Arabidopsis thaliana: one gene and its partners. The main gene of each other region encodes a partner of the protein of the gene in region 3 in a complex. Each region holds a gene or a part of one and is shown on either strand. Other genes may lie near its edges.

Region 1 (6,866 bases), on a different chromosome or scaffold from region 3:
GACGAAGCAATCTCCCAAGTGACTTCCCACGTCGGTCGTGTGGTGGTTGGAGATGTGAACAGACGTCGACAAAAGCACGGACGATGAGATTGTGTTGAGGAGAAGGGTTTATGTCCAAGAAACACCTTAGAAGCTCCTTAAGTTCACTTTCCGTCTCGATATATCTCTCTTCGATCATCTGATTCATCGACTTCTTGTAATCTTCGAACGGATTGATTGATTCTTTAGCCATCGCGACGCTCTCATCGATCTTAGGACATGGGCTGCGTAAAACCGTGGGAGAAACCGGTGGTCCCGGGGTGTAGTGGCTGTGAGAGGAAGGTGGAACGGTAGAGCCGCAACCGCATGCCATAAAAATGGGTTTGAATATGGTTTTGAGTATATACTTCATCATCTTCTTGAAAGACATTTTTTTTTTTACTAGAGGAAGAGAAAACAAGTTGAGATTATTGAGTGAGGATGTTGGTGTGGGAAAGTTTGTTAAAAGAGGAACCTTTTTTTCATTTAACTTAGCTTGGAGATTCAGCATTGCTCATTGCTTTGGAGATGCACAATTTTGATGGATTTCTTTTTTAAGGAAAATAATACCATCTTGAGGTGAATTCAAAGTTATATATGATATCATTTGTAAGAAACTATCTCGAGTGATATCAAAGGATTGGACATAGAAACCGATTTGAACCAAAAAGAAATCTCTCAAACCACAACCGAACCAATATGTTTTCGTCAAGATTTTTGATGAACGGAAATATGTTTTAGTTTCGATCTGGTTACCTTTTTGGTAAACCGGAAATGGAGCATGTAAAACTACTAAGCACCCGTCTACAACTCTAAAAGGTTTTGCAGTTTCACATGAACAAGACCAATATTAAGAAATCAATGGGCTAAGGCTAATTCTATATTAAGCCTGAGAAGCTAACAAAGAAAAAAAATGAAGAATACAACGAAGGGGTTGGTTTCTCTACTTTTATTTTGCAATCTCTATTCTATGATAATGCAATGCAGCTACTGTACAAGTACAACATTAACTCTGGTTTCACCGAAATCAGATTCTATGTACAGATATATGGTGGTGCTTGTAATGTGGTATGGTAACTTCAGCTACCTGTAGGTGATCTCGTAGCAGTGGATTCTTCTGGTGTTGGGCTCGATGGAGTTTGTGGCTGCTCCAAGATTTTGTTGTCGCTCGGTCCAGCGTGGTCTTGATCAAATGTAATCATCTGGTTCCAGTCTGGTCCAGCTAATGATGAAAGAGTCAAGGAGCTCTAAACAGATATCATATTTGGGGAGGAAAAAACTCAAAAGCTCAAAGAGAGATTAGATTAAATCACAGAAAGTGATAGAAATCAAGGATACATTCATCTGGCCACATGTCTGTGATGCTGACTTCGCCTACCTCTGATCGAAACCAGTAATCTACACCCATCTGTATATAATGTAACATACAGGTAAATATGAATTAAGTCAAGCATGATTTTTTAGATATGGTTACTTTTCCAGACTGTGATTATGTACATTGGTGAAAATTTTAAGCTGAGGAAGCAGTTGGGACTTACATCCAAATCTGGAGGAACAATCTTCATGATACCATCGACAAAGTCATGAGATTCGATGTCAGAGTAAACTCTTTGCGTATCATCAACTTCCTGTGTTTCCATGTTTCTTTCGGTGCTTTCCTCTTTCATCGGCATAGATACATCATGGTTCTCAGGGAGACCAGATGTTGATGGAAGATTTGAAGGTACATCAGGGACATTAGAGGGTTCATCAGGAACATTTGAAGGTTCATCAGCCTGAGGAATGTCCTCAAAGCTCTCTTCGAATTGACTAAAAAAGCACAATATAAATGTCAGTCTCACTTCCATGTTACAGATTTATCCAGGGCAAGCATAACGTTTGAGGACAGTGTTACCTGACTAGGTACACGTCTATTGGTCCCATTGTGCTTCTCAGAATGATTCTGTACCTCCTCTGATAACCACCAGCCTGATTAATGGCAGGATAAGAGGTGAGAATCGTTACAGACAGTGCATCGCTCATTTGGTTTTGTGCGCTCTTAAGCTTACCTCATCAGGATCTGGAACCTCAAGAGTTGTTCCATGCGGTGCCTTTACAGCTATCAGCGTCTTATTCTAAAATAGGCACCACAAAAACATGTTTCCCCAGTGAGAAGAATGCAAGGCAAAGAGAAACACGTAATTACTAGAAGGAGACCAGACCTGGAAGCATGGTAGGTTCTTAATGTCGTTTTCAGTGACGAACAGTAACCTAAAAAGTGGAGCGTCAGAACAAACAGATATGTTTTATTGTACCTTTCGGCAGAAGAAATAGCAGGGGACGCTTACCTTTTGTTGTTTTCATCCTCACTCAAGCTTGTTAATCTTTCTTGTGATTCTCTGCAACCAGGTCGACTCTCAAAAAGATGATACAAAACAGCAGAAAAGGGAAGGAAAATTATCTGCGAAAATACCTGATTTGGTCATCTAATCTTGCCTCCTCAGCTGCGAGGTTTTGTACTTCATCCTGTAAGATTGGTAACAGGAATTATAAAACATGAATAGTTTTTCGAACCAAAAACCCAAAACAAGAAATCAATGCAAGTGACTGAGATCGAAGAAAAACTGCAGTACCAATTTCCACTTATTCAACAGGTTCAAACATAAAACAGAAACTCATCATTCAAAGGTGCCAGTACGGGTATACAAAACAGAGCTTGTGGTTACATGTCATCGATGTTTGTGTGTATGGTAAATTTACTAGTATCCTAGTTACCTCCTAACACATTTAGCTCTCAGAAAACAGGCATAACAAGAATCATACTAATGCAGATTCATACGATGTTCAAGAAGACAATGCAAGCTAAGATATACCCTTAACGTGAAAACAATAATAAAACTGGTGATAATACTGAGCATTGCATAACAGAGTTCGCAGTGAAATGTGCAATGAAAAGGTAAAGAATATATAGGCATGTTCTGTACCTGTAGGTTAGCTATGCTTTCGATTGTTTCTCCTGGTTTTGAGACATCGAGACCCCTAAGACAGACAAGAAAATTCAGAGTACTGTCGCTCACACATGAGTCATCAAATGGAAGGAATCCAAGATTTGACAGTTCTAAGACATGCTTACTTCCACTGAATCCTGTTCTTAAGCGTCTTCTCTATCAAACCTATTCCTTCTAACACATTGGTTATATCATATATCCTTCTCTTTTGTACCTGCATCAACAGGAACATACAGCTAAGTTTGACAGAAAGTAATACATCAATATGGGAGTCTAGAGTTCAAATATGTCACCTCTAAAGTATCAGCTGCTTTGTTTAGATCAAGAATACCATCCTCTGCTTGTTTTATCAAATTGATAAATTTCTTTGTCAAAAGACCTGAAGCAGATTAAATCATTAAAAAAACTTATTATCCAAAAGTACATTTTTTAAACATTAGTTAATGAAATAAGTTATTACCTAACGAACTATCATATCGACAAGTACCGGCCTGTGCAAAGTTATTTCCAGGAGAACCTGCCAACACAAAAGATCCTTCTCACTACATTGCAATATCTCCACTCTTTAAAGAAGATTTAGCTCAGATGAGCACATAAGAAATATTTCTCATTGGCATACTAACACAGAGCATTTAGAACCAAACTCACCTGCATTAGAGCCAGAAGCTAGCGTTCCAGACTTATTAGACTTCGCAGACCTAGAAGTTTTCTTGGCTTTCCCCCCTTTCCCTGATACAGGTGTTTGAAGAACACCGGTATTCAATTCATTGACCTCAACTATTTGGTTTACCAAATCTGTCTTACGCTTCAGCTGCCAATAAAGTCACCAAAATTGAACAGTTAAATACATCAACGAATTGAACAGAATCAAATCCTATCAGCATCATACTGTCACTATGCTGAAATCTAAAAGCATAGACACAACTTTTACCAATTCCAACATAGCAAAATTCAGAAACTAATTTAACTAAACATAAACACAAAAGTGCATGAATCTGCTCTAAATAGCAATAACAGTAACACCACAAACCCTAAGTCCAGCAACTAAACTACTCAATAAGTACTTGCAATGCTAATTCCAATACTACAAACAAGGTTAATCAAAAGAGACCAAACGCAATTAACACCAACAGAAGCAGATCCCGACACAATTCTCATCAAAATCTAAAGCAACGACATCATCAAAATCATAATCAATAAAACCAAACCTCACACACAATCGAAAACACGAGAATTATAAAGCAAAATTCACAAGCAAAATTGAGAAGAAAAAAGACTTACAGTAGATTTGATCACAATCGCGTCAGAGACAACCTGATCAGCAACAGCTCCACCACCGCGAGTCTCCGCCGCATCAAACCGGTGATACTCACCAGGAGCAACTAGAGGAGGCTTCATAGAAGAAAGAGAAGGATGAAGCTGCCGCTTAGAAGATGGGAATTGTTGAGGTACTTCTTCAGACATAAGAACGAATCTCGATAAAAAATCCCCCAAAAAAAAAAAGAAACGGCGAAAATTGTCACGGAAACTCGGATCTCCGGTAAGCAGAGATCCCAATAACGATTAAGAAGCAGATCTACGGCGGGAATTACGGAGATTCCGGGAAGAGAATGTGAAGAGATCGGCGAATCGAAAAAAAGCGGGAGAGGAGAAGAAGATGAAGAAGAGGAAGGATTATAAAAAAAAAAAAAAAAAGAGACGGTGGAAGAGGAAGAGAGAAAACGAGGGAATGAGTTGCGTTTGGTTCTGAATACTGATGTGGAGGGAATTAGCGCTCTTTATCTCTCTCTTTGTACACAAATCTTTTTACCAATATCTCTCTACTAAATAATAATAATCCTATTTTTATATATAATACAAAATTATAAAATTTTAAGTAAGTTTTTTTTTTTTTAAAGTCAACGAAGTTAATAAAGCTATGTAACTAATTTGGATACAGTTTTATTTCCTTGAGATTGAGGGGAAAAAAATGAATTTTGGATTTATTCATGTTAAGAAGTGGAGCATAATAATTTCATCAAACTGTTGCAGCATCCGTTACACGCGTTAAGTGTGAGCAATTATCGTCAAAATCTGTCGAACTTATACGTTTTTTTGTTTTTAATTCATAGGTGAGGCAAAACTATATTGATGAAAATTATGCTCATGAGTGTCTCATCATTTAACAACTTTTTTAAATGGAACCTCGAAACATAGGGATTCCAAATCATAGCACCAAGACAATAGAAACATGTGTCGTCTGAATGCAGACACTTGGATCTCTTATGAATGCTATACTGTTTAGAGAAGATAATATATATTTATAGACTGAGCTTCCAAAACACAAGCTTTAAGTATGACTGTATGAGTAATCAAAAAAGATACTAAGACTTTGAAAGCTTCATACATAACAAACAGAGACAACAATAGAAGAACCCCTTTTTACTTGAACAAATGGGCAAGATCAGGGTCATCTAAATCTACATCAAGCGATCCATTTAACCGCATAAACTCGATGTAGCTATCTGGAGGAGTGATCGCACGAGTGTTGTTCTTCGGTTTGAATCCATGAACTCTCTGGAGATCTCTTGCGAGCCAACGCAGAAAAACTTTGTCCAATGGAGGTACAATCTTCAAATGGATCTCTTCGCGTTCTTCTTTCACCGTTGTAGCTTTGTTTCCCATCTTGCAAAACCCGATCTTTACATACATCATATATAGTATCGTCACATTGTCCAAACCACAAAAACAAGTTATCTAGTCAACAAGATGATTATGCAACACTTTTAGCAGATGCATTTTGGGATTAACACTTAACACAATCTATAATTTCTCCATGCACACCAATATTGCAAGTGTGTAACATTTACATGTTCGGATGCAAATTATCTCGTGAATAACACAATCGTCAATTCGTCATAACCATCTAAAAGGAGAGACTAAAAAGTTCTATAGAAGCTATACACTAACCTTAAGGACCATCAAAACCTTAATTAAGAGACCAAACTATTATACATCAACCAAGTAATCATCTCAGCGTCCATTTTTAAAGCTATCTTTGTTCCACTATGTCCAAGAATCATAAGATCCTCGAGCAAATAAATTGTACAAGATGAGACATCTATGAACCACCAATTCAAGGTCAATTCTTCAAGATGATTAACATGATAATATCAATTAGAAATCAACTCATTCATGAATACTAAGTCTACATTTAAAACCCCTAAATCAATGAGAAAACTGGAGAAATTACTTCAAATTTCTATCATCACTATATACCCAAAAAATCAGGTAAAATCCTAGCCAGCAAATTAAGCTTAGCGATATGATATAGATTCAAGAGATTTTACCTTTTTCAATCAGAGAGACAAAACATCAGAAACCGAAAGTGAGTCGAAGAATTTCTGACCAGACAGACACTATAGAGCGTTTTGCAGAGCTAAACCAATGTCGTATCGCTAGCTGTATGTCATTTTCTGGGTTAAGCCTAGTAACATAAAAAGCCCATTAGCTTTCACTTTTTCTTTGGGCCAACTGTTATGGTTTAAATGTGGAAACATAGCGACGAATGCTCAAAAAGGTGAACTACACTCTACAGAGACTACAAGTGTGGGTTTAGTTGCAAAGTGACTAAGTTTGTTGACGAATATTCGCTATAGTAATCATCTTTTTTTCCTTTTTTTGCTTTATGAATTTGTAAAACCAAAATTTTATGAAATCACAAAAGTTCTAAAGTTAGGAAAAGAAAAAAAAAAGTGTTGTTTTTGTTTGTTTTCATCTCTCACGTTATCAAGTTGATCAGTTAATTTTGTATTTATGAAAAGAAATTGATAACATTTTCTATGGAAAAGAAAAAGGATAATTGTGCTTCACGCTACACAC
Region 2 (8,582 bases), on a different chromosome or scaffold from region 3:
TACGAGATTTCTTCATGGGGTTTAGTAATCTTGTATGCTGGAACTGCTTTCTCCCTTAGAAGAAGAGCTGCTTTAACTATTGACGAAGGAGAGTTTGGGAACAGAAATGATCAGGGCTTGGAGATGCTTGAAGCTAATCCGTTGGAATTCACACCAGACGTTGAAAGACGAGTGAACGAGGGGTTTAAAGCATGGATGGGACCATCTTTATTATCATCTGATGAAGAAGAAGACGAACCTGACTTTTACAATGAAGTGCCGAATGTAACTCATACTCTTTCAAGCAGGCAAAGATCTTGATTCTTGCAAAGAAGAATTTGGTATGACACTTATGCAAACCTCCAAAGATGATTGCTTCAGAGATTGGGCTCACCAAATTGTTCCCTCAGTGATTCTCGGGTTATTTCATGTCTCTGCTTTCTGCTGATGTTGTTTATGGACGGATCATGAGAAGATTTTGATCCGGAAGATAAATCAGAACGGTTAGGACTGTTGCTGTTGTAGATATACACATAGTGGATCAATCAAGATTGTGTTTGGTTCTGTCTTTTGAGCAGTTCATGGTCGGTTTTGATCGTTTACATTGTTCATTGTAGGAATCTTGGGTTTGTAGTATAGGCCTAACAATACATTTTGATTGTACAATAACCTTTAGATCAACAGTAATAGCATCATAAAAGGATTAGTATTAACTTCCAAGTCCTATAAAAGAAGAATCTGTGTCTACACAATATCATAATACAAACTTTGCTGGTTTTTAATGGTTTTATGAATCAGTATCATACCTGAACATTGTGAAAAATTCTTAGCATTTAACAGAACAAGAAGAAAATCACTTGGTTCATCATGAGGACGAGAACTTTTGGAGTTACAAGTTAATTACTTGAGAACAAGTTACTTTTTCGCTATTTAATCAATGGTATGATGTCCAGAGTTGAGAGATCTACACATTTAAAAAAATTAGAAACAAGAAAATTGGACAAGGAGGGAATAAAAAAGACATACACATATGGGATCAAAAAATTGAAGGCGAGACTCCCTTCAGAACTCTATGAACAAAACCACCCTTCTCTATCTGCAACTCTTCAAAAGGTAAGATGATGGGCTTGAGTAGCCTCCCGGAGAAGCCGAAGGTACCTTAGCTTTCCCTGGTGTCCCACAATCGCTGAAGTCTAAGGCGCGACACTCCACCTGCATTCCACAGAGAATTGGTTCACAGTACGTCAATTTATAAACTCAAAACTGTTATTCCTTTTAATCTACCAAGTTCAAGATCCAATTTCAACATTAAGCTAGACCAGGTGTATTGATTAGAGGACTTGATCAATTTGAAACTTATTGAGAGTTTGTATGATATATAAGGTGTAAGTTGAAGCTGAAACCTGGGATCGGTTCCCAAGCTGATCATGAGGCTGGTGCTGATTTTCTTTCCCTTGAATGGACTTGTTCAGCTGTCTCTTCTTGAGTATCGATTCAGGTGTGTCATTACCCAGAACTTCCAAGGCATCTGCATATGCCGTAGCTGAGTGTTCACTCAAATGCTTCATCAGTCCTATGGCATCATAACTTCTCTCGCCGGGACTCATAAAACACCCAATATCCTGGGAAGAAAAAATGATAAACAACAAAGAAGATACGTCCATTAACAGGCGCTTCAACTTAAAACAAAAAGTAAAACATCCAGAAACTAAATTTATTCCATCTCATATTTACCTCAAATGTGATTTCTGGAGGCAACTTTGGACTTTGCAAGAAAGAACCAAAGAGTAAAGGAGATTTCCAAGGTGATGGGGTATCAAGGAGTTTTCTGAACGGAGTTCCATCAAATCTGGAAAACGAGTTGTACCAAGACAACTTAGGTTAGAACTTTCGAGCTAATATGATTCAATAGCAAAATGAGCTATCAAACACATACAGAGGAAAAGTAAAACTTACATGTTGAAGTTTTCAATATCAAAGCTGGTCTCTGCAGTGTTAGTTTTATCGATTGCAGATAAAGGAATAGAGTCCACTGTGCATAGAGGTTCTGATGACATTTCTTCTGTTGGAAAATCACCTAATGATATTTTGTGCTGGTTTGATAGATCTTTCGCACTTGCATTAACTTTGTTATCTGGTCTAGCTCGAGTCATACCAGGAGAACACAGTCGTAACTCAAAAAAACTTCCAGAAGTTTCTTGGTCCTGGTACAAGGGCAAGTAAGAGATTTAGAGATTAAAGCTTATAAGATTACGTTATGGAGATTTAGACCAACTATAAAACTATAATCCTCTACAAAGACAGCTGAAATAACTAGATGCTATCTGTTTGAGCAAATGTGATTGATACGATCTCACATGAAGAGAATTCAACATACTAGATGATGTGTTAAGCAACAAGAAGTTCACTAATAGACTCAATAACCATGTACCAGACATTGCACCTTACAGCTATAGACATCAGAGAATGAGATGACTGGGATTTTATAACTGATACCAGATAATATGCAAGGACAAAGACGGACTTACATTTTTAGCTGAAGCACCACCGTCATTACATCCATTTTCATTTTGCATAGAAGTCACTCCACCTGATTCTAAGGTTTCCTTTGGTTCCTCATCTATCGGAATCATTTCTTGATATAACCGAGCTGATGCACAATTTCTGTTATCTCTGGCTATGGAAGGGGAGGCACATATATTTTTATCTTCAGGAGACTCTGACGGACGAGAGGTCATGCAATCATCTCCTTCATCAAGCATTACATCTAAGCGCGAAAAATCATTAGCCAAGGAGGAAGTCGCAGCCCTTTTAAGCTTTTTGTCTTTTCTTCTATCAAGCACAGGTGAAAGCAAGTCTCGATGCCGCTTCTTTAAGATGGATGGTGCACCACTAAAACTTTTGGCAGTATCATTAAGCATGACATCAGGGCTCCTATCGTGACACGGTGAATCCCATAACCTTAACGGAGTTGTACAATTCATTGAAGAAATCATCAACTGACGGATACCAAAGGGACTGTACTCTTGCCGTAAGTCACTATTTGATGGTACAAGATCACAGCTGAAGAAAGGAATATCTGCACTTGGAAAACGTGGAGGTTCATAACAAAGAGCTCCTTTGTCTTTTTCAGCCGGCTTATCGTCAATAGGAAAATAAATCTTGTTCACTCTAGAAGGAGAAGAAAAACTATTCAAAGGTACTAGCTTCAAAGAATCCTTGGGAATATATGACAGCCCCTGTTGTTCTGGGAAACCACCATTATCATCATTGCCATGGGAAGTTACATGTCCGTAAGTATCGATGAAACCGTCATTTGTATCAGTCTTACATTCTAATTCGGTAGCTCCAAAAAGGCGACAACCTTGTATAGGAGCGTTGGAATCATTACGGGGTAAAAGTGAGTCCTTCAAGTCTGAATCCAACAAAGGGACACAATTATGACCCGCCAGGCCCTCAGAACTTGAAGGATGCCACGGTAAAGCTGGAACTTTTCCAGTTTCATGAGCATGGGTTTCTGCAGCCTGAGAACAAAGAGATCCTTTGCCGTTTTGAGGGTCAACCATATTCCGACCTTGCTCACCAGAAGATGTACTGCTATCTTTCATGTTATCTGGAAAAAGAACCCTACAACACTCCTCATCCGTGATCAAAGTTTGAGCTTCTGGATCTGTGTCCGAGTTTGACAAAAAAGGTTGATCACTTAATCTTACTGAACTTTGAAAATCTTGTTGAAGTGCTTGGTTTTTTCCACCGTTGTCCATGTTATGGGTCAATAACTCTAGACCACGGTCCTGTTTAGCATCATTAGATACACCCGGCAATTGATCCTCCGTAGCTGTGGTAGTTCTTAGCTCGTGAGAACAATTAAGATTCTGAAACTTCTTCGAACATTCTGTTTCACAAGAAATTTCGGGGACAACAATTTTGACATCTTTAAAGGAAGGGTAGTACGGTTCTGCATGAGATGCAGCGTTTGAGATTTGCTGCTCCGTTCCTGAATGAAATTCAGGCATGTAATATTCCTCATTTCCACGTTGAACTTCATCTTGTAAATCGTTGGTTGATTGTGAGAAAACAGTTGAAGCTTGGCTGCATTCTGATTCCTCAGCATCAACCCCTGGCCTTGAACTACCTTCATCTCCATTGCTGTGCATCCACGAGGAAGATGAAGCGATAGATTTGTTCTGAAGGGCAATTAATGGCGAGCTTTGACACTGATCTAAAAGACCTGATGCATAGTAGGAATCCAACTTCTTCTTAACTGAGCTGTTCCAATGATTTTTTATCGAATTATCTGACCTACAGGAACGTAAGAAAAAATAAGCAAATCACCAAAGCAGGAACGATAGACCACAACTACCAGCATCAAAAACCTATTATTTCATTTATGAGGCCACCAATTTTACGGACATGTTACACCTATGTTGTTATACTAGGACCCATGGAAAAGACATATTTACCTTCCTGGCAAAAATTTCATAAGCTCTGCCCATTTATTCCCATAAATTTGATGCGCACGAATAAGAGTCAGTTCCTCTTCCTGAGTCCATGCATTTTTATTAATCCCAGGGTTAAGATGGTTATGCCACCTACATCACCCACAATATTGTTTATGTGCGTTGAAGTACCACCCAATGTATGTAAATATCATTTTATCGGAAAGAAGTTGAGAGCCTTTGCATTACCTTTCCCTACATTGCTTTCCTATGCGCCCAGGTAAATGCTGAGATATAGTAGACCATTTCTTTGGCCCATATTTTTCAACCAGGTCAATTATTGTGTTATCCTCCTTCAAAACATGGAAAAGTAATGTCATGGAACACATTACAAATGCTAAGGTGTATTAGACTCAAACCGAGTAAAGCATATAAAGCAATTCACAAAATCACCTCTTTTGACCACGGTCCTTTCACAAGCTCTGGGTTCAAGACCTTTTGCCATCTATGAAGACACTGAACATCAGTCCGATCCTTAAAACATTCAGCTGAAAAGGTGAATCAAATAAAACCACATATTACTTTCACCGTACTAACTAAAGACTACAAATAAACATGGCAGCTAAAGTAGATTATTATTGATATGATCTTAACATACGCTGGAAAAACAAACTGGGAAAACAAGAAGAAATCAGAATTTGCTATTCGATTTACCTATCTTCTTCCAGTTCTTTCCTTGAAAACGCTCAACAGCTTTACACAAGACTTCGTCCTGATCCAGAAAAACAGAATTGATACAACAGAAAACTTCATAGAGACGAATTCTTCAATAGATGCAAAGGATAGCTAATGTCAACTAGTTAAATGGAACTGTGCGAAGCAACAATAGGGTGTTACAGAGACAACTGATTAAGCTCAGGCAGTGTTCCAGGATACATAATATGAAGCATGGAAGAATCAGATAGACAACAAAAAAGACACAGGAACGGAACGCACCTCTTCAGGTGTCCATTGTCCTTTGGTAGATCGTCTAGCAGGGCCAGATGTCCTCCTATGAAAATGTCACAAAGAGCTTGCATCATTATTAACCTGAGAATGTCTAGTTGAATGCAAAATTTGGTGCCAAAAGCAATCCAACTTCAACATTGAAACCCAATAGAAGAAAAGGAAGAGAGATGTAAGCGTACCCTTGTTTTCCTTTGAGGTCACCTTGGAGACTCTCTAGTGGAGTAGTAGGTGCTTTCATCTCACGCTTCATAGTTAGCAAGGAAAGCAATATGAAAAACCCCAAAGTCCGTTTCTTTGATATGTCTTAGAAATCATCATAAGCGAAGCACATTGCTGTAATTTGAAACAAAGATAAACCATAAAATTAAAAACACAGTCGGACTCAGACTAAGAATCAGCATTAGCTTCACAGCAAAAGAGCAAACTAAAGTCAAAACAAGGAAGAAGTTCACAGAATGAAGAAGGTAGCTTTAGATATTGAGATTGGATCCAAAAAAACCTAAGATAAGAAGCCCGAATTAGTTTCAGAACCCAAAACAAAAACCTCGAGAAAAAAGCTTCGAACATCATCTGAAGAAAATCGAAACTTTATACGAAAAAAAGTAAGAGAAGTTCAAAGAGTAGATTTTTGAAAAATCAGGAAGAAGTCTCCGTGAAAACTAACAAAAATGTGACCATAATAAGAGAAGGAGACGAGGTCATACGAGTAAAGCTCACACCTTGCAGATCAACGAATTCCAAAATTAATCTGAAGTAATTAAGACGCTGAGAATCCAGATGAAGAAGAAGAAGAACACAAATCGAAATCGAAGTCGAGAGAGAGAGAGAGAGAGAGAGAGAGAGAGAGAGAGAGAGAGAGAGAATGAGAGAGAGAGAGAGAGGTATTCAAAACTCAAACATGGAGAGGCGGACGGAATTCGAAGTGAGAGAGAGAGAGAGAGAGAGAGATCAAAACAAAAAGGAAAGTGATCTCAGCCGTTGATTTCAATCTCTGAATCTCGCTTTTTAGTCTCTCATATCATAAAAGTTCAATTTATTTATTTATACGTTTCTTCATTCATTTTTCTTTCGAGATTCTCTGTTGCTTCTTCTTCTAAACAACGGCAAAGCATTCTTTGTATGAAAGAAGAGTTTTTTTCTCATTAAAAAGGAAGAAGATGAAATTGCCAGTAACAGCTAATTCTAAAATCAGCATAAAAACCTAATAACAATGTAGACAAAGTCAAACGAGAAGACCAAGAAGAATACCAAAACTATTTGATTTTCAAAATTAATTTTAACTACTTCAAGTAAAATAGTGTCATCATCAGTGAGTCAATTGATACAGTTGTAGAATTTACAGGAATATACTTTTAGCAGTTAATATTAATAGTTTGTCTTTTAGAATGCTTCCTAAACATCGATTTAAAATAATTAAGGAAAGAGATGTGTGCATAAGAAGGCACATAAAGCTAAACAAAACAATACCAAATATGACTAAACCAAAATTTGCCAAATAAGCAGCTATTTCTAGTTATAACATCACGAGTCACCAGTCGATACATTAAATTTAAAGTTGCAACTAGAAATATATTGAAAAACAGAAGCAGTCACGAGCGAAATCTCTCATGCTTCCACCTTCTGAGATTTGTTCCAGCGACCACCCGGTGAATCTGATCCCCTCTTTCTCCCGAATCTCCCTCCTCTTCTTCCTCCCCTGCATAGACCAAGTATATTATTATCTGAAGAACCAAACAAAAACTTCATTTGAAACAAAATCATAACAAAGAAACCAGAACAAAAACATGAACTCACCTTCCTCCACGGCCACCCTTGTCAAACCGATCTTTGCTTCGTAGGAGAGTCCAATACTCCTTTTCAGCTTCGCCTGACAGAGAGCAATATAAACAAGTGACCATTTAACTAAAGCAGAACACAAGGTTTAGTTATAAGATAAGATTGAAGTTGAAAAGGTGTTTTTACCAATAACAGGTTCTAGGACAGCAATAAAATTCTTCACGGCTAGTCCACCTTCATTGGCTAATACTGCTGCTGCACGGGCTTTCTGGGATGCTTCAGGTTCATCAAACCTAAGATAACCCGTCTCAGATCCCATCTTGAAATCAACAAACTTCACAACAAAAAGAATAAAGGAATCAGTGAAAATGATGTCAGTTATATGAGATATTGAATCTGATTCATGTTGACAGACAGCTAAGTAAAACTCAAGTAGTACCTTGACATCACCAAATTTTCCGAAAACAGCCTTAAGATCTTCACGTAAGACAACATCCTTATTATCTTTATGGGTGGCTAGAGCACCCTTTTCTTCTTTCTCATCATCTTCATCCTCTGCTCCCTCGGCCTGAACCTCACCAGTGTTTTCTTTATCAGCATCAGGAGTATCTGCTGGCTTTGTTTCACTTTCTTCCATTGTCTTATCAGTTGGCTCCTCAGAACTTTTTTGTTCCGTGGTACCCTCTTCAGCTGAACGCTTGAGGGTGAATGAAATGATCAAACCCTTGGGATAACTACAATACGATAAAATAGCCATAATCAGATCAAGAGGATTATTAGCATGAAAAGACAAGTAATTAGATAGCAACAGTCAAACCCCTACTCTGGCTCATAAGCAGAATTGTTTTTGTGATCAGAACCATTCTTCTGATTTGCAGATCCCTTCTGAGGTTGGTAATTAGCAAATTTTACTTCATCCTTCTCCCTTTCATTATCAAACTCTTTCCTGAAAAGAATATATCACCTTTTAAGTAACCCATCCAAACATTCAATGGAAAGACTTGTAAAATGAGAAACAGTCAGCAAACAGGACATGTTTTCATGTCTAAGTATGATTACTTTGGTTTCAGCTCCAACTCCTGACCAGCAAAGACCAAATTCTGCTTCATAACATTCTGGGCATCCTCTTCTGTAGGGAACTCAACCAAGGCAACACCAGAAAATATCCTCGACTCTGCAACATGACGAGGCATCCTCACACTATTAACCTGCAAGGACGACACATACATATACCAAAAACTTGTATAACCAATCTAAATTTTGAACAATGGCTTATGATTCAATCGATAGTGGATTACCTTTCCATACTGACTGAAAAAGGATTCCACGTCTTCCCTTTTAACATCATAGGAGAAAGGTGACGCAGCTACTGTTCTAGCA
Region 3 (6,333 bases):
CTTCAAGGGGTGTGAAAAGACATCACTGTCCTGCTGTTACGTTTGGCAGCGAAGAAGGAGAATGTTTAGTGTGAGCTGACGTGGCTTTATTATTGGTGTTGAGGTGAGAAAAGAAATCAGGTGGTAGGATAGAAGTTCCATTTTCTCTTACTTTTTTCTTTACCCCTTCCCAATTGTAATTCATATTATCTGATCTTAAAAAATTTAATTCAAGTTCATGATATATCAATTAAAAAGTTGTATAGTTTTCTACATATATCATGACTTAAATTTTTGAAAACAAACATAAAATAATTTAGATGTGAATAGTGTTGTCAATGAATAACATAAAGTTCTATATAGATAAACAATATTTTTTTATAGAAAGATATTAAACCCTAAAGGATAATATATAGAGAACCCAAGAGTTTAAATCTAAACCAATAATTAAATCACTTAACATCCTTAATCAAAACAAATAATTCATTTTAAAACGTATATAAAACAAAGTATACGTAAATAGTATATTTACAAATAGAATAGTATCTCTCAAATTGCAACAACGAAACTCAATTTCATCACCAAGACACCAAGCGCAACAACGAAAGTCGATTCCCTGAATCCAAATTGTGTTCCTCCCTCTGTAATTCGAAACCCCCAAATCAAATCTCACCCAAAAGTAATTAAGAGACTCTGATTTGAAAACAAAAACAAGTAACGAGGTAGGTGTAAAGACTTTACTGGGAGAAAGAGAGAGGGAGAGGGAAAAAGAAAGAGAGAGAAAGAGAGAGGGGGAGAGAGAGAAAGAGGGAGGGAAGATAGAAGGGAAGAGAGAGGTAGACGGAAAGAGAAATGGAGAAAAATAGATAAAGGGGTAAACTTGGAATTAATATACAAAATATAGAGGATATCAGTTCTTTTTCCTTTTGATGTTAGTTTCTTAATTATAAACTTTTTGTTGGTTAGTTTTGCCAATTCCCTTACTTACAACTGATAACCGTATAGCTCTTTTATCAGAAAAAACTTTATATATCTAATCTCCCAAAATATACAAATGTGAGAAATATCTGAAAATAAATCAATTCTCACCAATTATATATATTTGATTACTTAAAAATGTTAATATATGGCAGTTGCTTGTTCAGAGAATAACTTAAAAAATTGATCACGAGATCGGCTTATGTTTAATATTTTTGAACTCTTGGGATAAAAGTTTTGAAGATATATATATCGTAGAAAAGTTTTGTGTTCTTTAATTAGTTACAAAATTTTGAGTTTTTTTTTTTTCTTTCATAAAGTATCAGAATATCAGGGTGATTTATTGAATAGTTTATTTTTTCTCGTTCTACTCACGTTATTCTTGCAAGTATTAATTTTGGTTTGTTTATAAAAAAAGTATTTGGAAATTTTATGTGAGCAAGTGCGAAATAAACGAGGATTTTGGGAAGTATTTTTTTTTTTGTAAAATCGGTTATATTGAACGTTATACTATATATATTATTATATAAATATAACTGCTAAAGACTAAATTTAGATACTAAAATCAGCATTGATGAAGATCCACATGAATAAGACTCGTCTCTTAACTCAACATTTAACATATGATTTTCATATTATTGATCATTTATCTTTGTGTTGGTCCAAGGTGCCAGACTTTATTATTTACATTAAATGTTGAGTTGTTTACTGACATATTTTTTAATTAAAACAACTTTCATATTATTGCCCATTTATATTTTGGTTGGTCCTCCAAAGACTTACAGGATACATATGTTTCTCCATTTTCATTTTTATGATCTAAAACGTCTTTTTCTAACTTAGATTCTAAATGGTTACAGCAAACCGGACATACAATTTTGCTTGTCAAATGGATCGTTGAGATAGACAACAATCCAATGTAAAACCAAAACTCTTGATTTATAATTGGTCTGCAATGATTTTTTTTTGGTTCATATACCATTTTATAAGATAGCAAACCATTTTCATCATAAAAGATATATTTTTTTATCATTGAATACCAATCAAACCCGGTATAATAAATAAAATTGTACCAAATTAATGCGGTTAGGTAAATTCAATTTATTGGAAATTAAAGAAGAGAAAAAAAAAATAACGAACAAAATTTCCTTGACACAAAAAAAAAAAAAGAAGAAAGAAAAAACCCTTACTCTCAATTAGTCAATCCCCTTCCCTAGTCCTCCTCTCTTCAAGCTTTTCACAGAAAACCACCACCCTTCTCTCTCTACTGCCTTTTTACCACAGAGAAGAGAGAGGATCCGTCGGTGTGCTAGTCTCACTGACACTACATCCGATCGTCGCCGGTAAGTTGATTTCGTTACTCTCCGATCAATTTCTTTTCCGGAGGAGGAACTTGTTTTCCGTGCGAAATTCTGACTTGAACTTTGTTGTCAATTCATCAAACGCTTTATCTTTTCTCCATCTTCAATTATCTTACTGCTTCGTCGCTGATCTCTACTTGTTTTCCTCCGTTTTGCATTTTCAGTGGCGTTTCTTAGTGTTTCACTAGATTTAGACTGGTTTTGCTTGTGTGCATTTTGTCATCAGTGTTTATGATTGTTCGCTTTAGCTCTATGTTTCTATGGATTTGATAATATATGAGTTCGCTGCTCTGGATTCAGCTGGCTTGTTTGATTGTTCATTTTCATAATTCTGTCCAAAGAATCAAATCCACAGTAGCTCGGATCTGAGATTGATTTGTTTCTTTGCGTCTTTGTGTAGATTTGACTTTAATTTTGAGATTGTTGTGTGCTGATATACAGCTTAATTAATATAGCCTCTGATGTGTTATTATCGATGTGTCATTATCAATCTACAGGTGACATTTTATAAGTGTGGAGTTTACTTCAGCTTTATTATTCAGGAATTGATGGATCAGGTTGGTGTAAATAGTTGTTTCAGTTCTTACTCTTTTGACGAGAGTCTCTGTTAATGTGCTCTTATTAATGCAGTACGAGAAAGTTGAGAAGATTGGTGAAGGAACTTACGGTGTGGTTTATAAGGCACGTGACAAAGTGACTAATGAGACAATTGCTTTGAAGAAGATCAGGCTAGAGCAGGAGGATGAAGGTGTTCCTAGCACAGCAATCAGAGAAATCTCCCTCTTGAAAGAAATGCAGCACAGCAACATTGTCAAGTATGATGTTAATACCATTGTTGAAAACTGATTCAGCATGATGACTCTGGTAAACAATTTTGATTGATGTTTTTTGCTACACAGATTGCAGGATGTGGTGCACAGCGAGAAACGTTTGTATCTGGTTTTTGAGTATCTTGACTTGGATCTCAAAAAGCACATGGATTCTACTCCTGATTTCTCCAAGGATCTACATATGATCAAAGTGAGTGCTAAGAAACTTTAGGCATTGTTTTATATATGTGCTTAAACTCAATACTCAATATAAGCTGATCAGAGCTGTTCATCCACTATTTTCAGACATATCTTTACCAGATTCTCCGTGGAATTGCGTATTGCCACTCTCATAGGGTTCTCCATCGTGATCTGAAGCCACAGAATTTGTTGATTGATCGCCGCACAAACTCACTGAAGCTTGCTGATTTTGGACTGGCCAGAGCATTCGGTATCCCTGTCAGGACATTTACTCATGAGGTACCAAAGAGCTTTATTCCTTGTTCATATGTTCCCGTTATGAAATCTTTTGGCTGGCTGCATTCCTTATGAGTGTAATGTAAATTAAGTATTATACCACTTATGTGTCTGATAAATGTGATGAAAAGGACTAAGCCATTTCACATAGACGGTTGAAGTAAGCTAGTTCAAGATACTGTAAAATATTTCAATGCTACATCCAGATTTCAGATCTCTTCCTGGTTATTCACACAATTTTTGCATATTGTTCCTTTAGGTTGTTACTCTCTGGTACCGAGCACCAGAGATACTCCTAGGATCTCATCATTACTCTACACCTGTTGATATTTGGTCTGTGGGGTGCATATTTGCTGAGATGATCAGCCAAAAGCCCTTATTTCCTGGAGACTCCGAGATTGATCAACTCTTCAAGATTTTCAGGTTTAATTGCTAACTTCCCCAGTCCAATATTCCTCTATATATTACAAGTGCAAAGACTTGTCTGCAATGATATCACAAGGGATTGTGGAAACATTTTCAACTTGATATCACATTTTGGAGAAGTAGTAAAGGACACAGAAATTGAATTGTTAACTGATTATAAATCTGTTACTGCCTTGTTTTGTTGTCTTCTTCTAGAATCATGGGAACTCCGTACGAGGATACATGGCGTGGGGTAACTTCTCTACCGGATTATAAATCTGCTTTCCCTAAATGGAAACCAACGGTACTTCAAATGTCTTTATTCGCTTGTACATCTTGTCTTCAGTAGTCAAGAGTTCACAACATATATTAATTCTTGCCCTTGTTTTTTTTTCTTATACCACAGGACCTAGAAACTTTTGTCCCCAATCTAGATCCCGATGGAGTCGATCTCCTTTCTGTAAGTTCACTGAGCTAGATATATACACACACATATATAGACACACTACTTCTGCTATTAGAGACCTGTATGCTTGATTGTGATGGATCTGGTCTCATGTTTCTTACTAAAAACCTTTTAACCATTTGAGGTTTTAGATGTCTTATAAAGTCATCAAGAGCCGGCGTACTAAAACCAATTCGATTAGGCTTCATAGTTTCAAAACCACATGAAGCCAAAACCAAACTTGTTTGAAATATGAACAATCTTCAAAAACCAGGATTCTTGAAATTCCTAACCAAACCAGACATCTGGATAGAAATCTAAGATTTTGAGCTCCTGTGAAAGCAAAGATGATAATATATCTCTCTGCTTGATTTGTTTCAGAAAATGCTGTTAATGGATCCGACCAAAAGAATCAACGCAAGAGCCGCCCTGGAGCATGAATACTTCAAGGATCTTGGAGGCATGCCTTAGAAAGGCATAAAACCAGTAATCTCCTTCATTCTATATATAATTATCAATCCTAAGAAAATGAAGAACAATATTAATGGGTTTTGTTTATTCTTTTTCTGAGTTCGTTTCCTACTTATATTCTATTACGAAAAAAAAGAAAGAAGAAGATTTCGAGTGTGTTTTTTTTTACTTCTAAGCTTTTGAGATCAGTTTCTTGTATCTTATTTTACCCAGAATATAGTATTTCCCTATATGAAATATGGTTTTTGTTTTGCAAAATGACCATATTATGCAACTTCTCAGCTTCTTGATTGTGCCTTGATAGTGATCTTTTGAAATATATCCCAAAAAACATCACTTTTTTCGATTTCATTAGTACTTATTTACGAGTTACGACGTCATTTGATAACTAGTATATATGGTCCGTCGATCTTAATTTCCTATTTATAAAGGGTGCACCGTTTTTAATGAGACAAGAGGGTCCAAGTAGCCAATCATTAATGAGACCAAAGTTGACCAGAAAAAGCTGACAAATAAATTGACGAGAAGAACAATTCAACACGTATTCGATAGTTTGGATTACATTTTACAGTTGGTCGAAATTCGAAGTAGATCAAATGTCAATAATCTAATTCGAAACTAAATGAAGGTACCTGATAACCATTTCAGTGTTAGTTAGCAGTGGTTTCAATCTATTCACTAAGCAAAGACGCTTCCATTCTGAAAATCAAGTCCAATGGGAGGCATAAACTTAAGTGTCTGAAAAACTCAAAAAAGCATAGCCTCGTGTAAAATAGACCGATCTATTTATTCATGAATATATGTATGATTATCAAAGTGCATTTATACTTTTTACGTTTTAAAATTTCGTATATAAACTTTCCTTAGTGAATATTATAACATAATTTCTAATGAAAACTTGTTATATATTATTATTTTATATATATTTTTGCCAAGAGTTATTATCATTTTAAAGTTTTAGACATTTTTACTTATTGTTGCAGAGCGCATTTTCTCTTACAATTTATCTATTAATCAATAAAATAATTATAGACCTTTTTAAAAGATAAATAGTAATTAGTATATAAAGTTATATTTAACAATAGTGTATTAATCATAAAATCAAAATACTAAAAAAAAAAATCAAATTCAACAGAAATAAATAGCACATTAATGATAAAATCAGAATAATTTTATTAAATCAAATTCAACAGCAATATGTCACCCCAAAAACTATATACTTATTAATTTCAATCAGTTTCATTGTCATTTACCTAATTAGTTTAAAATATATAGAAAATTATAAACGTGTAATGTCAAGACTGATTCCTCAAAAAAAAAAACCCTTACTGAATCTATTACACATCAATTATTCTGTAACAGAAAGAAAAAAAAATCATTAACTAATTACCATAAACTCCATTAGAAA
Region 4 (8,324 bases), on a different chromosome or scaffold from region 3:
TTATGGTTAACTAGTACTGAAAAGGTAGATATATTGGGGCCCCTTATCGCCGAGTCTTGGTGTTCATTCAAGTGTGGTGATGTTTGGAAACTTTCTGAAATGTTGTTTGGTCTGGTTTTGCAGCTGCCATATGAAAATACCGTGATAATGTTAATTGATTAGTCCTTCTTTGAGTTAGATTTATGGATTTACTGGAAGTTGTGTACTCACCCCTATTTGAGAGCTGTTTTTTTGGCATGTCTATTGTCCACTCATGTTGTGTTGGCTATTTTCAAACTTTGATGTTTGTTGATATGAATAAGGGTTTGTTCTTCCTTTTTTCAAAAACAAACTAGAGTTGAGTTTCATAGCATTTCTATTGATCATATGCTGCTGAGCAAATCGTTTGCGGTTCAGTAAGTTTATTCATAACTGGGATGTATGAGTAAACTTATGGTAAATCATGTCTACTCTATACTCATTCTTTTTTTGCTAATGTCAATCTTTGATGTGTTTAGACATGTATAGGTTGTCTTTATCTTCTAATTTGAATATTTTATTTTTCTTATAAACTTTAGGAGCTTCACGACCAAGCTGCTAAAAGTAATTTTCATTTGATGCAGGTTTCACGTGGATAAAATGTCGTCAGCTCATGTTTACTTGAGGCTTCATAGAGGCCAAAGTTTTGATGACATTAGTGAAGGTGTGCTGGAGGACTGTGCTCAGCTTGTGAAAGCTAACTCCATTCAAGGTAATCTTTTTTTCTACCTGTCGTGAACTTAACATTTGCATAACCATTAGTCTTAGAGTACCAGTTTGTTTTTTAGAAGGAGGGCACATATAGGTTTTTTCTGTTTTCTTACCGACTGGTGTCTGGGATTATGTGCCAGGCAACAAGGTGAACAACGTTGATGTTGTGTACACTCCGTGGTCCAACTTGAAGAAAACTGCCTCCATGGATGTTGGTCAAGTTGGTTTCCACAATTCAAAGATGGTAAGCTTCTTCATCTCTAAAGAAATTTTGGTTGCGCATACATAAACTGCTCAAAGTATGGTTGTAAAGCTTCGATGATATTGATACCTAACTCATATTTGTTTCGTTCAGGTCCGGACTATCAGAGTGGAGAAGCGAGTCAATGAAATAGTTAACAGACTGAACAAAACAAAAGTTGAAAGAACCCCTGATCTGAGAGGTTAGTATTTGTTTTGTGAGCTCTTCCTCAGATTCTAATAGGTAGAAGATTGATCATGCATACATCTTTCTCGTTTAACAATTTTCCTGCTGATGAAGTGTCAGTTAAGTGTCTGTAGTTTTTCCAGTCAGTATAACTTCAAGATCTATGAAAATAATTTGATTGTTCATAACTGTGTTGATGAAGCCGAGAGAGAAGCAGTGAATGCCGCAGAAAGGGCAGAGAGGAAACAACATCTGAGGGAGAAGGTCAGTGTCTGTTTTTGGTCGTTATCATCTTAAACGTCTTTGATTAGGGTTTTGACTGAAATCCTCGGTTGTTTCTGGATTTTGCAGAAGAAACGTGAAGAGATAGATAGGCTTGAGAAGGAGAGGCAATCAGAGATGAGGAGTTACAAGGGACTAATGGTAACTGATAAAATGACATCCAACAAAGACATTGCTTCAAGCAACAAATCGCTTCAAGAACTTGAAGACGATTTCATGTAAAAGCTCTGAAGAAATGAGAAACAAAACAAACCAAGTCGGTAACATTCTGCCAGAGATGATCTGGTACCGTCCTTCAAAGAAGGCTTATGATGTTCTACTCGCCTTAACTATGATGTTGATGGTTGTCCGGTTCTATGTTTTCTTTAAAAAAATCTTGAATACCTAAAACCCTAATCTGGTTCTTGGACTCCTTGGTCCATTGAAATGTTTCAAAAGGATTGAATCTGATCTGTGGGAAAAAGGAGAGCATTATATTCTATATATGACACAGGTGAACCAGTGATCTGGTGCAATTATGGTTTACTCTGCATTGCTGTGTAACCTGAAATTTGTTTACTACCCCATAAAGCTTCATGTGTTACTCTGCATTGGGTTGGGTTTTGGAATCACTTTATTCTTGACCATAGTTGCTATTGTTAAAACTTGCGGGTTGAATTTAAACAGTCCTGTCTCGTGATTGCAGTGGGTCTATCGGGTTATTACTGTAAGTTAGCGGGGCTAGTCACTAGTGCTTAGACTACTTTTTTTTAGCGACCATAGTTGGCTTGTTGATGATATATGATTTGAAATAATTATGGTGGCCCCTAAAGTGATTTGAATCAATAATCCAACTGTTGGTGTACTTGGAAATCTAAGGGTATTAAATAAATCTGAGTGAAAATTTGAAAAAAAGGGAAAAAGAAGGGAAAATAAAGGATAAGAAACTAAATAATTATGTCCGTTAAATACTAAAAAAAGATAGGAGACACGTGACCGAAAATATTTAAAATGGACGGCTGAGATTAAGACTGAGAGCCGCTCAAAAAAAAAAAAAAAAAAAAACCAAACGTTATTGACTTGTATAGGGTTTGTTGAAGAAGGAGACTTTAACATTTTTGAATTTCCGCCAGTCTTGTTTTGAAATAGCTCTGCCGACCGTTTAGATTTCTCTCTTTTATCTATCTTCTCTGGGAAAATTTTCAATTAATCTCTCTTTATTAACTCAGATCGTGAACATTTATCTCCGATTGGAGGAGATTTCTAGTTTTTGATTGGATTTACTTTGGGCATTTTGGTCTCTCCAGTTTCTGGGTATCGTCGTTGTCTCTCTCCGATTTATGAACCACTTCCATTTCTGAAGCTCGCATAGGTTTGTTTTATGACTCCATGGTTCTATATTTGAATCTAGGTTGGTTTGGGTATGATTTGATTTTGAATTTATTGTCTGCTTGATCTAAATAGTTTGCTCTTTTTAAAAATGACTGCGAACAAAAGTTCACAATTAGTAGTCATTGTAATTATTTTCAAGCTTCGAGTATGTTTTGTCCTGATTAGCGACCGACTTTTTTTGGAGCTGAATCCTTAGTGTTTTTTTTCTTTACAATTTATCTTAGGAAGATTGTGAGATGGTACAAAGGAGGGAATAGTAGTTTTGAAATATAATGTTTTGGAGTTACAACATTGCAGAGAAGAAAGGCAACGTATGGGAATTGGGGTGACTATTTTTGCATTTTCATTGACTAGTTATGGAAGCTGAGTCTTCAACCCCTCAGGAACGGATCCCGAAATTGCGTCACGGGTATGCTTCTTTTTTTCTCATATCTTACTAACTAATAAATTGTTAGCTTGCCACAATATCCTACTAGATTGACATGTTTGTCACACCTAGAATTGAGTTGCATGACCAATTGTGTGGATTTTACAGGAGGACTAGTGGCCCTGCAAGACGTTCAACTCGAGGCCAATGGACAGCTGAGGAGGTGAAATTTATGTTTCCATCAGCTTCTTCTTATAAGTTTCTTTCCAATCCTATGTTCATGTAGCCAATTAATCTGGTCTCACGTTCTTGATATATGCAACAAAACTCTGCCCTGTGTTTGTTCATTTGCATGATATCATTGATCATGAGAGATACAAGAAGTAGACATTTGGATATATGCATTTTTACATTCTATGATCTGCATATTTGCTAAATCATTTTAACCAAACATATTCTCAGGATGAGATCTTGAGAAAAGCTGTCCATAGTTTCAAAGGAAAAAACTGGAAGAAGATAGGTTGACATTCTTTCCTTTCTATATTCATTTACTGAAGTGAACTGTAATCTTCCTTGTCTAAATGCATGTCACATCTTTTCTTAACTCTCAGCTGAATACTTCAAGGATCGAACTGATGTCCAGTGCCTCCACAGGTGGCAAAAGGTCCTTAATCCTGAACTTGTTAAAGGGCCCTGGACGAAGGAGGTGACATAGTTTTTTCCTCCACTATTTCTATAACATGTGCATCTTGCACTGTTTGCTTTGAATTTGCAAACATCTCTGATGACTGTTTATTGCTCTCGTTTGACATGTGTGTAGGAAGATGAAATGATCGTTCAGTTAATCGAAAAATATGGGCCGAAGAAGTGGTCCACTATTGCTCGATTTTTACCTGGCCGTATTGGAAAGCAATGTAGAGAGAGGTATGCTTATAGAGACAGCTATTTCTCTAACAACAGTGTTTTACTAGCACTATATAGTTTTTGTCCTCTTTTCAAGATTTTAACTGTGAAGGCTGTTACTGATATAGGTGGCACAATCATCTCAATCCTGCCATAAACAAAGAAGCTTGGACTCAAGAAGAAGAGCTGCTTCTGATTCGTGCTCATCAAATATATGGTAATAGATGGGCTGAGTTAACAAAGTTCTTGCCTGGAAGGTACTCATTTCTATTGTTATTTGAAAAATCATCGTACATATTTATTCAATCTTAAAGGTATTCTTCTATTTGTTCTAGCAATATAGTTTTCTGCTATGTTATCAACAGGTCGGATAATGGAATTAAAAATCACTGGCACAGTTCAGTCAAGAAGAAACTTGATTCCTACATGTCGTCTGGCCTTTTGGATCAGTACCAAGCCATGCCTCTAGCTCCTTATGAGAGAAGTTCTACATTACAATCAACTTTTATGCAAAGTAATATAGATGGAAATGGCTGCCTAAATGGACAGGCAGAGAACGAAATAGACAGCCGTCAAAATTCAAGCATGGTTGGCTGCTCACTATCTGCAAGAGACTTTCAAAATGGAACTATCAATATTGGGCATGATTTCCACCCCTGTGGAAACTCTCAAGAGAATGAGCAAACTGCGTATCATTCAGAGCAGTTTTACTATCCGGAATTGGAGGATATCTCAGTCTCCATCTCCGAAGTCTCTTATGACATGGAAGACTGTTCACAGTTTCCTGATCATAATGTCTCGACTTCTCCAAGCCAGGATTACCAATTTGATTTTCAGGAACTATCAGATATATCACTCGAGATGAGACATAATATGTCAGAAATACCAATGCCATACACCAAGGAGAGCAAGGAATCTACTCTGGGAGCTCCAAACTCCACATTAAATATTGATGTGGCTACTTACACCAACTCAGCAAACGTTTTGACACCTGAAACGGAATGTTGCAGGGTACTTTTCCCTGATCAAGAGAGTGAAGGGCACAGTGTTTCTAGATCTTTGACCCAAGAGCCAAACGAGTTTAACCAGGTAGACCGTCGAGATCCTATCTTGTATTCATCAGCTTCAGACAGACAGATATCAGAAGCTACAAAATCTCCTACGCAGAGCTCTTCTTCAAGGTTCACTGCAACGGCCGCCTCAGGAAAAGGAACTCTTCGGCCAGCTCCCTTAATCATATCACCAGACAAGTATAGCAAGAAGTCATCTGGATTGATATGTCATCCCTTTGAGGTAGAACCAAAGTGCACAACAAATGGAAATGGTAGCTTCATATGCATCGGTGATCCATCAAGCTCCACTTGTGTTGATGAAGGGACCAATAACTCCAGCGAAGAAGATCAATCATATCATGTGAATGATCCCAAAAAGTTGGTTCCAGTGAATGATTTTGCTTCTCTGGCAGAAGATAGGCCACACTCTCTACCTAAGCATGAGCCAAACATGACAAACGAGCAGCATCATGAGGATATGGGGGCATCATCAAGTCTTGGTTTCCCAAGCTTCGACTTACCTGTTTTTAACTGTGATCTTCTACAATCTAAAAATGATCCTCTACACGATTATAGCCCACTTGGCATACGCAAGCTACTGATGTCCACCATGACGTGCATGAGTCCCCTTCGACTGTGGGAATCTCCCACTGGGAAAAAGACGTTGGTTGGTGCACAGTCAATCCTTAGGAAACGGACCCGTGATCTGCTGACACCGTTATCTGAGAAAAGAAGTGATAAAAAGCTTGAAATTGATATAGCAGCCAGTCTGGCAAAAGACTTTTCACGTTTAGATGTGATGTTTGATGAGACTGAGAATCGGCAATCTAATTTTGGAAATAGCACTGGTGTCATCCATGGAGATAGAGAAAACCACTTTCACATTTTGAATGGAGACGGTGAAGAATGGAGTGGCAAGCCTTCTTCACTCTTTAGTCACAGAATGCCAGAAGAAACCATGCATATCAGAAAATCGCTTGAGAAAGTAGACCAAATTTGCATGGAGGCAAATGTCAGGGAAAAGGATGATTCTGAACAAGATGTTGAGAATGTAAGTCTCTTTCTTTCCTTTAACCATTTGAATATAAGTTGTGCTACTGGTTTACACAAACTCAGTTCCTTTAGATTTTGTCGCCAATCATGTCATTTTGTCACCTGTGTTAAAATCTTCATTGTTTTGGTGAGTTTTAATCGTCATTGTAGCAATAGATTGTAGATGTAACTGACATACATAACCTTTATGATGGATCAAATCTTATGCAGGTTGAATTTTTCTCTGGTATTCTTTCTGAGCACAATACCGGTAAGCCAGTCCTGTCTACTCCTGGTCAGTCAGTTACTAAAGCAGAGAAGGCGCAAGTTTCAACCCCAAGAAATCAGTTGCAAAGAACTCTCATGGCTACGTCTAACAAAGAACATCATTCCCCTTCAAGTGTTTGTTTAGTGATTAATTCGCCTTCTCGAGCGAGAAACAAGGAGGGTCATCTTGTTGACAATGGGACAAGCAATGAGAATTTTAGCATGTACATCTATACCACCCTTACTAAAATATTCCTTGTCCTCTTTTTGCTTTCATTTCTTGCTACAATGATTTTGTTTCTTCTTTCCATTTACAGATTCTGTGGAACTCCATTCAGGAGAGGTCTTGAATCTCCCTCAGCCTGGAAATCTCCATTTTACATAAACTCTCTCTTGCCCAGCCCAAGGTTTGACACAGATTTAACTATCGAGGTACTTGATAATGCCTTAAGATCCTTGTATCCTATATTCAACATTTTTACTTCATGGGTGCATAATTTCAAATTCTTTTAATATATAGACATGTTATCCTTAGGCAACTTAATTGTATTTATTTTTTCAGGACATGGGCTACATTTTCAGTCCTGGGGAGAGAAGCTACGAGAGCATAGGAGTGATGACACAGATAAATGAACATACAAGTGCATTTGCAGCTTTTGCAGATGCAATGGAGGTTTCAATTTCACCTACTAATGATGATGCGAGGCAGAAGAAGGAATTGGATAAAGAGAATAATGATCCTCTACTGGTATATATACATACTCTACAAATCATTCACTCTCTAAGTAGACGGTTTTGAGATTATAGTTCTAGAAACAAAGAAAAATGTTTTGTGCTCCATTGATTTTGTGTTTTGAACATTTCTCAATCTATAGGCGGAGCGTCGAGTGCTGGACTTCAACGATTGCGAGTCTCCAATCAAAGCAACAGAAGAAGTCTCATCCTACCTCTTGAAGGGATGTAGGTAAAATGCCAAAAGCTTATACATAATATGCAAAATGCACCATACATGAACAATGTATAAATATGTATGTGCATCTTTTATGAATTATCCCTGGCTGGATCAATTTTTTTTCTCTGTTTCTTTTTAATGGATCAATTGGAGTGAATTTATGTAGATTCTGTGTTCAATATATATATACATATTTCATTTGCCTGCAATGAGTACACGTCCGTATACTCTGTGAAACGAACCAACTGCAGTAACTTATTCTTGTTCTCTGCTAGTTTAATCTAAATAGTTTCTGCAATTCCGTCATATGCTAAAACCTCAGATTCTACATGAACTGTATTCAAGTTCACCAGCTTAAATCTCAAATGTTTTCTCTTAAACATTTGACTCTATAAGAAACCAAAAAAGAGTTGTAAGCAATAGTAGAAGAGAGAGCACAAAAGCTTTCTTGCGTACTTTATTGATACTGGGATGAAACAATAATAATAGTAACGACATTTATCTTGTCACTGCCGGAAATGCTATAATAGAAAGAAAAGAACAAAATCTTTATTATGAAGCTTTGGTGTCATGGTGGTGTTCAGTTTCTCAGACGGCTTTGGTGACAACAGCATGGATAGCGTCTGCAAGGTGAGGTACAGTCTTCGAACTCAGACCAGCCATGCTTATCCTCCTTTGGTTCATTTATATCAATCATCACACACTAAGTTAGACAAAATTCAAGAAAATTAATAGATGAAGAAGAGAGGCAGGCGCTTACCCGTCAGATGTCATGTAGATGTGGTACTCTTTAGTCATGAAGGAGACTTGAGCTGGGTTTAACCCTGTGAAGGTAAACATACCAATCTGCTTTATGATGTGACTCCAGTCTCCAGGAGTGCCTGTCACAGTGATTTTGAATTTCATTTCATTAGCTATGTCCATTTACATTCCTTATACAAA

The links.
Region 1: CDC2 (region 3) and E2F1 share a complex: the UniProt entries of both Arabidopsis thaliana proteins name them as parts of the DREAM-like complex.
Region 2: CDC2 (region 3) and PC-MYB1 share a complex: the UniProt entries of both Arabidopsis thaliana proteins name them as parts of the DREAM-like complex.
Region 4: CDC2 (region 3) and MYB3R-4 share a complex: the UniProt entries of both Arabidopsis thaliana proteins name them as parts of the DREAM-like complex.

Annotation. Positions count from the first base shown.
Region 1 is NC_003076.8:7,358,352-7,365,217, reverse strand, and holds E2F1 (E2F transcription factor 1), read right to left. Parts: upstream 4,684-6,866; 5' UTR 4,470-4,683; coding exon 4,287-4,469; intron 3,817-4,286; coding exon 3,654-3,816; intron 3,523-3,653; coding exon 3,466-3,522; intron 3,385-3,465; coding exon 3,299-3,384; intron 3,220-3,298; coding exon 3,131-3,219; intron 3,037-3,130; coding exon 2,982-3,036; intron 2,524-2,981; coding exon 2,471-2,523; intron 2,397-2,470; coding exon 2,346-2,396; intron 2,269-2,345; coding exon 2,220-2,268; intron 2,133-2,219; coding exon 2,067-2,132; intron 1,987-2,066; coding exon 1,913-1,986; intron 1,828-1,912; coding exon 1,557-1,827; intron 1,427-1,556; coding exon 1,357-1,426; intron 1,241-1,356; coding exon 1,098-1,240; 3' UTR 713-1,097; downstream 1-712. Other genes in the region: OFP10 (Ovate family protein), read right to left, coding at 1-529; AT5G22210 (aspartyl/glutamyl-tRNA (Asn/Gln) amidotransferase subunit B), read right to left, coding at 5,427-5,669. UniProt on the Arabidopsis thaliana protein: Transcription activator that binds DNA cooperatively with DP proteins through the E2 recognition site, 5'-TTTC[CG]CGC-3' found in the promoter region of a number of genes whose products are involved in cell cycle regulation or in DNA replication.
Region 2 is NC_003075.7:15,788,133-15,796,714, reverse strand, and holds PC-MYB1 (Homeodomain-like protein), read right to left. Parts: upstream 6,583-8,582; 5' UTR 6,146-6,582; exon of another isoform or gene 6,131-6,145; intron 5,760-6,130; 5' UTR 5,677-5,759; coding exon 5,606-5,676; intron 5,470-5,605; coding exon 5,415-5,469; intron 5,191-5,414; coding exon 5,133-5,190; intron 4,967-5,132; coding exon 4,872-4,966; intron 4,772-4,871; coding exon 4,668-4,771; intron 4,572-4,667; coding exon 4,443-4,571; intron 4,282-4,442; coding exon 2,508-4,281; coding exon of another isoform or gene 2,463-2,507; intron 2,184-2,462; coding exon 1,936-2,183; intron 1,829-1,935; coding exon 1,714-1,828; intron 1,602-1,713; coding exon 1,383-1,601; intron 1,192-1,382; coding exon 1,072-1,191; 3' UTR 799-1,071; downstream 1-798. Other genes in the region: AT4G32750 (uncharacterized protein), read left to right, coding at 1-300; La1 (La protein 1), read right to left, coding at 7,032-7,122, 7,221-7,293, 7,389-7,536, 7,642-7,936, 8,026-8,148, 8,262-8,410, 8,501-8,582. UniProt on the Arabidopsis thaliana protein: Transcription factor that binds 5'-AACGG-3' motifs in gene promoters. Transcription activator involved in the regulation of cytokinesis, probably via the activation of several G2/M phase-specific genes transcription (e.g. KNOLLE).
Region 3 is NC_003074.8:18,069,372-18,075,704, forward strand, and holds CDC2 (cell division control 2), read left to right. Parts: upstream 1-2,082; 5' UTR 2,083-2,300; intron 2,301-2,815; 5' UTR 2,816-2,866; coding exon 2,867-2,875; intron 2,876-2,948; coding exon 2,949-3,133; intron 3,134-3,217; coding exon 3,218-3,338; intron 3,339-3,433; coding exon 3,434-3,607; intron 3,608-3,863; coding exon 3,864-4,027; intron 4,028-4,225; coding exon 4,226-4,313; intron 4,314-4,415; coding exon 4,416-4,469; intron 4,470-4,835; coding exon 4,836-4,925; 3' UTR 4,926-5,270; downstream 5,271-6,333. UniProt on the Arabidopsis thaliana protein: Involved in the control of the cell cycle. Essential for both G1/S and G2/M (mitosis) phase transitions. Functions in cell morphogenesis as well as cell proliferation.
Region 4 is NC_003076.8:3,677,287-3,685,610, forward strand, and holds MYB3R-4 (myb domain protein 3r-4), read left to right. Parts: upstream 1-2,461; 5' UTR 2,462-2,789; intron 2,790-3,033; exon of another isoform or gene 3,034-3,106; 5' UTR 3,107-3,165; coding exon 3,166-3,218; intron 3,219-3,344; coding exon 3,345-3,399; intron 3,400-3,638; coding exon 3,639-3,696; intron 3,697-3,787; coding exon 3,788-3,882; intron 3,883-3,996; coding exon 3,997-4,100; intron 4,101-4,207; coding exon 4,208-4,336; intron 4,337-4,444; coding exon 4,445-6,182; coding exon of another isoform or gene 6,183-6,347; intron 6,348-6,394; coding exon 6,395-6,654; intron 6,655-6,747; coding exon 6,748-6,862; intron 6,863-6,992; coding exon 6,993-7,178; intron 7,179-7,305; coding exon 7,306-7,398; 3' UTR 7,399-7,598; downstream 7,599-8,324. Other genes in the region: AT5G11500 (coiled-coil protein), read left to right, coding at 603-730, 870-973, 1,085-1,172, 1,359-1,420, 1,508-1,660; ASP3 (aspartate aminotransferase 3), read right to left, coding at 7,971-8,055, 8,143-8,263. UniProt on the Arabidopsis thaliana protein: Transcription factor that binds 5'-AACGG-3' motifs in gene promoters. Involved in the regulation of cytokinesis, probably via the activation of several G2/M phase-specific genes transcription (e.g. KNOLLE). Required for the maintenance of diploidy.